Schizosaccharomyces pombe: one gene and its partner. Changing the gene in region 1 together with any one later gene gives a genetic interaction. Each region holds a gene or a part of one and is shown in the gene's direction. Other genes may lie near its edges.

What was found. A genetic interaction does not mean that the proteins touch.
Region 2: mutations in SPOM_SPCC1020.07 (region 1) and SPOM_SPCC61.05 together harm fitness more than expected from each alone (negative genetic interaction), as found in Schizosaccharomyces pombe (one large-scale study listed by BioGRID).

The regions. Positions count from the first base shown.
Region 1 is NC_003421.2:769,775-774,190, reverse strand, and holds SPOM_SPCC1020.07 (pseudouridine-5'-phosphatase), read left to right. Parts: upstream 1-2,227; 5' UTR 2,228-2,465; coding exon 2,466-2,498; exon of another isoform or gene 2,499-2,669; coding exon 2,670-2,712; exon of another isoform or gene 2,713-2,777; coding exon 2,778-2,840; intron 2,841-2,897; coding exon 2,898-3,469; 3' UTR 3,470-3,916; downstream 3,917-4,416. Other genes in the region: tal1 (transaldolase), read right to left, coding at 1-693; wybutosine biosynthesis protein Tyw1, read left to right, coding at 4,139-4,416.
Region 2 is NC_003421.2:1,447,342-1,452,359, forward strand, and holds SPOM_SPCC61.05 (uncharacterized protein), read left to right. Parts: upstream 1-1,832; 5' UTR 1,833-2,264; coding exon 2,265-3,674; 3' UTR 3,675-4,270; downstream 4,271-5,018. Other genes in the region: SPOM_SPCC61.04C (Rab GTPase-binding protein), read right to left, coding at 1-36.

The DNA.
Region 1 (4,416 bases):
CTCACCGACGTTACGGAAAGAAGCACCCATGACAATGGTCTTGTAACCGAATTTTTTGTAGTAGTTGAAGATGTTAGAGACACTGACGACACCGGGGTCTTCTTGAGCGGTATAGTCACGGTTATTCTTAGCCTTGTAGAAATCGAGAATACGACCGACGAAAGGAGAAATCAAGGTAACGTTAGCCTCGGCGCAAGCAACAGCTTGGACAAAAGAGAACAAGAGAGTCAAGTTGCAGTGGATGCCCTCTTCCTCGAGTTGCTTAGCAGCTTGGATACCCTCATAGGTGGAGGCAATCTTGATGAGAACACGCTCACGACCAATGCCCTCGGCTTCGTACAACTTGATGAGGTGACGAGCCTTCTCGATAGTAGTTTGGGTGTCAAAAGAGTAACGAGCATCAACTTCGGTGGAGACACGGCCAGGGACGATAGCGAGGATCTTGGTACCGAATTCGATCAAAAGACGATCAAAAGCAATCTCAATTTGAGAGTTGATGGAACCACCCTTTGCCTTGGCATAGTCAACAGCAGCGTCGACGAGAGCAGCATATTGGGGCTTCTTAGAAGCGGCCAAGATGAGAGAAGGGTTTGTGGTGGCATCTTGGGGTTTGTATTTGGCGATCGATTCAAAATCTCCAGTATCGGAGACGACAACAGTGCCAGTGGCCTTTAATTGTTCCAATGAAGACATTTTGATAAAACTACCTCAAAAACTCGTTAGTAAATACTTTTTCCAGACAAATAACTTCGTTTTTCCTAAAAAACACTACAAACATACCTTTTCTGAGTTTCTTGGTGTTCCTAAGGATATAGGTTCTGGTTAAGTTGTGTGTAGCGTGGAAACTTCCACTTAAGCATTTTAGGTACGTCAGCCAAAGTTTCTTTGAATTTGCGGAGAACTTAGCAATGTTTGTCTAGATTTAATTGATTGCTTAAGCAGATGAAAAACTTTCGATTTTACTATAAAATTTCAGAAGAAAAAAATGGAAGCTGCAGACTGTGCTCAATGCATTCTTCACCATCGAAAGTATAGGAAAAGTCGAAAAAATTTATGAAAAAGAAAAATTTTAAAAAATGGTCGAAATCAGATTGTTTTTTTGTTCCAAATTGAAATATATAATGTCAGTAATCTAAGAAAAATAATGCGCTGGTCGCAAGCGGGATCCCGAACAAGATATTGAAGAGATTGACATGACTGGGCTGATTGCAAGTAGTGCCTTAAGGTATGTATTAATGCTAGAACGTTACAAGTATAGTATTGGAAATATTTTGTTAATTGGCACATTTCTTTTGTTTGGTTTGAGCGACATGACAGCAGCAAGTTGCTGCATCGGACATGATCGATGTTCGCACAAGTGTTAAATAGTTGGACCTAAAATTGAATACATATCCATGGAAAACTCTTAAATTGGTAAAAGCATCTGATACTCTTTGGATAGGTATACTCTTCTACCTACACTCTTGTCGATTCGAATTGCCTCTTACAGTAATACAAATGAGATTAGCTTCTAAGGTATCTACAGTCTTCAGAAATGGTCAAGTTCGTAATTAAAAAGGCTTGGTTTTAACCTGTTTATGGACATTGTCTATATAATCGTCAGCGAAATCTTCAAGCATAGTGTGAGATACACCTGTATACCCATAGTTGACGAGCAGATAATCGTAAGGCCTTTTATTTGACTTTCATTACTTATTATTACTTTAATCACTTTTTAAGTAATTTTCTTCAAAATAAACCACCGATATCTCACTCGACATTTAAAAAGAGCTATCTGTATATCCACCTGATGACATTCCATAGTCATCGAGTACAGCTTTGTAGTTTTTCAATAAGACACCCATTCCCGTATCAATTTTACTTTCAAACCACCTTCTGTAACATGTTTCCGGTCAAGTTCAAAGTCACACGTGAATGAATTGTTTGTAGACAAATAAACATCCATAAACTGAGCTTGTCGTGTAATAGGAAGAGAGTCGAGTAAATTCAATGTCATTGCACTTTATAAACTTTCTTCTATTTTTTTCTAGTTTCTTTTTATCTTACCATAACATTATCATTTAGATGAATCAAGTTCAATCCCTGACTCAACAAATTCGCCAACTTTACCTCTCTTTACACTCATTATTTTCAAGCAATTCTATTTGCAAGTCCAAAAGCTTTCCTAATGCCACAAATATTCTATTTCTCACCTTTGCCTAAACAATGGCTCGTCTTGCAACTTGTCAACTCCACGTTTGACTACTTCTAGCAGAATTTATTAAGGACGACTGTGATTGTCTAAACTTGAATTATTTGATAAGTTATCGTATATTCATCTCATTCCCATTGCTGCTTTCGTCCGTATACTGATCGAAATTGGTTTCATTCTGTTACGAATAGTATATATCCTTTCAACAATATCTTTCTTCATCGTAGAAAAACAAAGACATTCTTTTTATTAAAACCCTTACTTTACTTTAAAGATGATTCCTGAGGCGTGTCTTTTCGATATGGACGTACGTACATAGTAAAATAATATGGATCATTTACGGCGTCCATGATCAACAAATACAATATTTATTATCGTTTATTTGTTTTTCATTCTACTTAAAAGTGCTTAGCCTGATGATTCCTTAAAGCATACTACTTGAAAAGCGATAAAGTGTCCTTCTATCTAACGAATACAGGGCTTGTTGGTCGATACAGAGTCAATCTACACAAAAAGCACTAGTAAGTTTTACTCTTCCTTTTCCCTTTCTGTTCAAAGGTATTGGTTAGGCTAACGGTGCGTCTAGATATCATTTTAAAGCGCTATAACAAAGGCCCCTTCTCCATGGAAGTCAAGGCTAAGATGATGGGTAAGTGGCTTTGAGCTGTTGTTGTTTTTTTCAACCTTCTAATCATTCATGCTTTAGGCCGAACTTCAAAGGAGGCCAGCAGAATCTTTTTGGATTGGTCGGGTATTGATTTGACCTGCGAAGAATACATAGCATTACAACGTGAAACTCAAGCTGAACTATGGAGGCATACAAAGCCTTTACCTGGCGTTATGAATTTGTTAAGTAAGTTGAAATCACTAAACATTCCTATAGCACTAGCCACTTCCAGTGACACACACAACTTTGAAAAGAAGTCCGCTCATTTGAGTCATTTGTTTGATCATTTTGATGGAAACATTATCACTGGAGATGACCCTCGATTACCCGTCGGTAGAGGCAAACCTCACCCAGATATTTGGTTCATCGCTTTGAAGATGATCAACGACAAGCGCAAGGCTCAAGGCCAGGCAGAAATCCTGCCAGAGAACTGCTTGGTTTTTGAAGATTCCATTACAGGAGTTCAATCAGGCCGGGCGGCAGGCATGAAAGTTGTGTGGGTTCCTGATGTCAATATTCTTCCCTTTTTTTCTCTTTCTCCAGAACAAGCTGCGGACAAGCATATAACAAAGGTGCTAAGCTTGGAGAATTTCGATGTTACAAAGGTATAGTTGAATTGGTTTCTTTCTCTTACTTTCTTCATTTATCGCTTTTGCTTTATATCTTTTTTTTTGCTCTTTATTTAAGACGCAGCATGCTAGCTGCATTATTTACTTTTTATTCTTCGTTTTACTGATATATTCCCATGTCGTAAAATCTTTAAAAATGAACTCTCATCAAACATTCCAAATCTTTTTTGAATACTTTTCACAAATAACAATCATTACAAAGCCCTCATCCTTGATTCTTTCTTCAATCGTTTGAAAGTGTCTCATCTCCAAGTATCATTTTCACTACGTCTAACACTAGCTATCTAGCAATTTTTCTAAATGTTACTACACATGAGGTATTTTAAGAGATATTGCTTTTCTTATAGTTTGATTTTCAAGAATGTTGACTTTTACAAAAAGTACCTTTTTGGCCAGCACTCCATCATTTAGATGAAAGCACTTATATATTAATAAGGTAAAATTAATCATAAAATAAACAAATAAGTAAAAATTTTAAATTAATTTAAAAGTTCATCCTTCATTTTAGTACTCTCTAGCTGGACTTAGTTCTGTTGGCGCTTATTGGTGAAATTTGCCTGTGTCTTTTCCATATGCCACACCTCAAAGAATCCTTTTTCCAACCACCAAGGATACTATTTCTTTGCTAAATTCCAGTGGTAAATCATTGCCATGGGGTATTCTTTGGGGTACATCGGGGAGCATTGGGAAGAATACCGGGCTGTATTGTACATAGTCTTGCTGCTGCCTGTACTGATCCATTTTCTGATTCGACGAAAAACCCAATTGTCCAATTCAGATAAATCAAGCGAGAAAAAAGATGAGGTAAAGAAACAGAGAGAAGTTAAAAGGTTTAAGCGGGTTGGCAAAAGGGGAAAGATCGGTTCGCCATCCTCTTCCATTCGTAAACAAAATGATACTATTGATTGGAAAAACTCTCCTCTTTGTGT
Region 2 (5,018 bases), 680 kb from region 1:
GTATTGTAGATTAGCTGGGTTGTTGTAGTAAGCCATCGAATTTAATTTTTGGTGAGAAACCTGCTCTTGCTAAGTTAGGAGAGAGTAGGAGGGAAAGGTGGGTAAAATGGAAGCTCCTCCTTTTCCCCTTCAACTTTGATTAACAAGCTTTAAAATAGTAATCTTCTCTTTTTTTTTTAAGAAAAAAGCCCCAGTGTGAACAGCAGCGAGAATTTAAGACGGTAAGGGATTGGGATATTTGAAGGTATCGTTAGTCCCAATGAACTTCATGATATTATAAGATGTTCTGTTAAACTGATGTTGAAAATTATTATCAGTTCTGTTATTTTGCTCATTAATTGAAATGTACTTTCGGATATCATCTTTGCATGATATCAAAGTTACAGTCTTTTCTTAAGCTCTTTGATATTTTCATGGCCAGTTCTATTGACATAACAATGAAGATGAAACATATAAAATTTATATGAACTATTATTACAAATGTAGATTTCTGACCCTTGCTCCAAGGAAAATTGTGCATATACAGAGGAAATTAAATGTAAACATTGCTATAATACAGTATAACAGATATTTTACGAGCGACCAAAATTCGTAAGGCATAATCCAGCGGCTTTTTAAAAATTCGTGGATTCAGCTGAACTGTACTATGTAAATGACAATATTATTGCTGTTAAAATATTTGAGCTCATACTTTATACCTGTTTAAATAATACATGAACCGCTCAAAACTAACTTTGGGATATTAAGAGGTTCCAATTTATTTGATTTATTTTTTAATTGTTAACAATTGATTTTTCTACTCCTTAGTATATACCTCAGATGGTTAGTATATGAGTCACTTGAGCTATCGCAAATAATTCAATACGACTAAACAGGTATTCATTTATTGTATACATTAAGAATTACTTGAATTACAATACTAAGCTTATTTTTAGTTATTCTGACAGTAAAGGAAATTTTGAAGTTATTGGTTTTATTTAATTTGAAATTTTTTATTAACTTACGTTACTGTGGCACACAAAGGTTTCATGAAAAAGAGTATTTTTGTGTACCTAACACAAATTGATTATCAGAGTTATTTTTTTATTGTTCTCCTATTTCATTATTTAAACACATTTATGTAATTATTTACAATTAATGGCAGCAAAAATTTGCATTTCATAAATTTACTGATATAAAAAATCCAAAAAAAAAAAATACTTCTATTTATCTAAGGATCACAAGAAGCTACAAATAGAGTAAAAAAAAACTTCAAGAAAACAACAGAAGACGATTATCGCTATTACCCACGACTATTTATATCCTAATTGTAAATTATATTTTCTTTATAATATTCCATCCATCTCGCTAAAAATAAGCTTAATTTTAACGGCCAACAATATATACAAAAACTTAGTGTCTAGTTTCACTATAATAAAGAACTTACTTTTTGCTCTAGAAGAAAAGAAAAAAGAAAAATGAAATGATATGAAGATCTTTCACTCATAAATTAACTGCGGTGTGACAAAATTAGCCGTGACTGGCTCAATGAGAGAAATTTGTTCCTTCCAAAAATTATAATAAAAAAGTCCCATATGTTGTAAAAGTTAAACGAAAAATAAATCGTTTCGAAGCAAGTCTTTGTTTCCTTTGTCAGTAGTAAGCTGTAGGGATTTCAGGAGTTTACACGGAACTATTATTTCTCAGTTTTTGTCAAGCAATTGAATTCTACAGTAATCTTTGTCTTTCACTTAATAAGATATATGTAAAACTTAAATTTGTCTATGTCTGGTGCATAGTTTAGATATTTTCTTAAATCATATTTTTGTAGCAGTTCTGTCAACTCTTCATCTACCACCACGTACATATATGTATATTTTCATTAGTAGCCAATTTTTTTCGACAATATAGGTTCTAAGAAGCATATAATTTAAAATTTTGATTTTTTTCAATCCAGCTCCTCGAGAAGCTCATATTTATTCATAGTTTGACGGCTTTCTTGGTCAGTCGTATCAAAGCAAGCGCAAAGATTCCCACATTTTTGTACTTACAATAGGCTTGTCAACGTTTACTGGAGGAGATTTGTTAAAGTTAATCAATTCGATTAGATTATTGTTTGGATTCAGGTATTGATCGACTCATATTTATCTCTACATAATATTATATCCACGGTTTTACTTTTTTAAAGTCAAAGGCAGTCCCATTTAAGCCAAAAGATTCGTTCGTTTCTCAAAATTTAAAAAGAAAATATACTTAATTGAGCACTTCTGGTAAATCGTTACAATATGCGAATAAACTTTGTTTTGCTCATCACTCTTATTTTACCATGGTTTGTGTCCGGAGATTCTTCTGAAGAAGCCGTGGACGCGCCTTTGGATGTGAAGGATGACACCGGCAATAAGGATTACTATAAAGATTCTACTGGTGCCTACCACTTTGATAAATTAATTGTGACCCCGTTGGAGTACAGAGATGGAGAAAGCTGGAAACAATCTGTCATTTACTGCGACCTCATATTTGCGAAAGAAAACAAAGAAGAAAAAGGTTCTTTTGTCAAAGCGCAACTGAAAGAGGATGCCGAACATCCTTTTATTTACAGACTGCTTAAACTCCAAACACCGTTAGAAACTTATCGTGGATTTATCGATGGAAAAAATACAGAGATTCTTGATGAGATTAAATCAATAAACTTATTCGAGGATTTTCTCAGTGAGTCTCTAGTCCCCGAAATCTCTCCATCAGTTAATATACCCATTGATGAAACTGCATTGTATTGTTTTATCGGAATTCAAGAAACTGAGCCAATTCGTATTCCTTGGCCTGTTTTGACAGTCGAATTTTATGGGGATGCACCTCCTCCGGAGTCTTATTTTCGTACCATAAAATCCACCTTATTAGCGATATCGATGTTTTTAGGATTCATTACACTAACATGGTTGTTGCGTTGTATTAAAAGTCAGTCCGGGGTTCAACCTGCTCAAATTTCCCTTGCATTTTGGGTTTTTATCTTTGTGTTTACCCATTCATATCAGGTGTACTCAATGGTTGCCATCGGAAGGGGTTCCTTTTCAACATGGTACGTAGTTTCCTTTTTATTCTCACTCGTCTTTGAAGAAGGATTGGAACAATCTGCATATACATCATTTTTATTGGTATTGTGTTTTGGCTTGGGAATCACGAAGCCTGCTTTAGTGAAGTACTATGTTTACCTAGCCTTTGTAGCCTTCGTTCAAGGTTTGTTTGTCACGTTTGCACCCCTCTCCTATCCCGTGATGTCCTTTTATGGGGTTCGAGGAATCCTCCTCAAGCTAATTTGGAATATCTATACTTTTGTTTACTATGGATTGCCATTCTTTGCAGTTTACCGACTGTACAAGCAGGCTGGTGAATCAAGGAAACTTGGATTTGAGGCCAAGTACTCTCTTTTGAGGACTTGCTATATTGCATTAGCTGCTGTGACCGTAAGTAATTGCCTATTTTTGGGAGTTGTTCGTCCCTTACTTGGCAGTCAACTTTCACTTGGCTTCCAACTGATAACTTCCTGCATCACGTTTGTTGACTTCTTGGTTTTTGCTTTTCTCTTTGATTGCTCAAAATTTGTCTTCCTAAAATATCAGCCGATCCCCTTTGAATGGTATGCACTGGAATCGATGGAATCCCTTAACCTTGAACCAGCGCCCGATCGTAAAGTGTAAAAAAGCTTTTTGATAATCAGTTTTATATTAGGTCGAGAAAACGGTAGCTGTGTGCGAAAATTTAATCCTTGAAAAATGGTTACTTAATATTTTTTATTTTACTTTTGTGGTGACAGTTCTTACATTTTCTTGATTTTCTTAATTGCACATTCCCATGAGACGCCATTTCTTGATTTTAATACTTGTCTTTTTAAATTGCTTTTTTCAATTACTATATCTTTATCCAGATTTTTTACACTATATACTCTTTCATGCTATTATAACTTTACAAATACTTCCATCCTTTATATTTTTTGCTAACACAATCCCATTTTCTATACATATAAATACGATTCAGCTATATTGAATTCGTACAACTACCTCCTTGATGATTTTTGCTACATTTTTTCTACTTTATGCCTTTTTTGATGATGATTTTGAATATATTGACACTTTGCTAAATAATTAAACAAGCTTCTCTTGATATCCTGCATCCATTTCAAATAGTATCACTTGAAATGTTACATAATTTTAACCATGAGCATCAGCAAGAAGCGACAATGTTTCTAATGCACATACCATTTATCGATTTAGTAATGAGAAAAGTTAAGTTTGTTAAATAGCGATAGAACACTAAACGACAGTAAAGATAATTGCATGCACTCTGTGTTATTATGGAATACCCTATATATCAGTATACCAATCACGCAATCGGGTTGAACTGTTGAATAGTTTCTGGCATGTATTTGTTTCTCTCTACCTTTTACCAAAACGGAAGTTGGAATGGAAGTTCGTATGTATGTCTGAAAACGTAGCTGTTTCATTCCGTTTAAACTAAGACTTCCTTAAGCCAAATAAGCAGTAAATGCTCAAACATATGAAATATTCTTTAAACCCCTAAAAAAAGAAGATCTAATACGTAAACCTTGTGTTCTCTTACTACATTCAGACACGCATTTTTAAATTTGATGAAATTAATGTGTTTGTGAGCAAACTATAGTCATGTGAATGTACGGAGATGATATGGCACGATGATTGTGGACGTAGGTATCCAATATTGTGTGGGAAGTAAATTCAAAAAGGGGCGTCTAGGGGAATGATTAAACGTTTAAACCACGTACAGGAAATCGGAACACTGTATAGGATGTTAACTGTTTTGAGTATCACTAGTTCTGAAACTTGCAAGGAGAATATGTTTATTAGATGATACAGATGTCGTTCAAGATGTTAAAGCTTTAAATCTTTGCTTATGATTAGCTCTATGTCACCCCTGTATTTTGCTTGTGGTTCGTATGATTCTGTACAGCTCATCGATGAAGGGTAGTGGAGTCTTGTAGATATTGGGTACTACTGACGATAGTATCC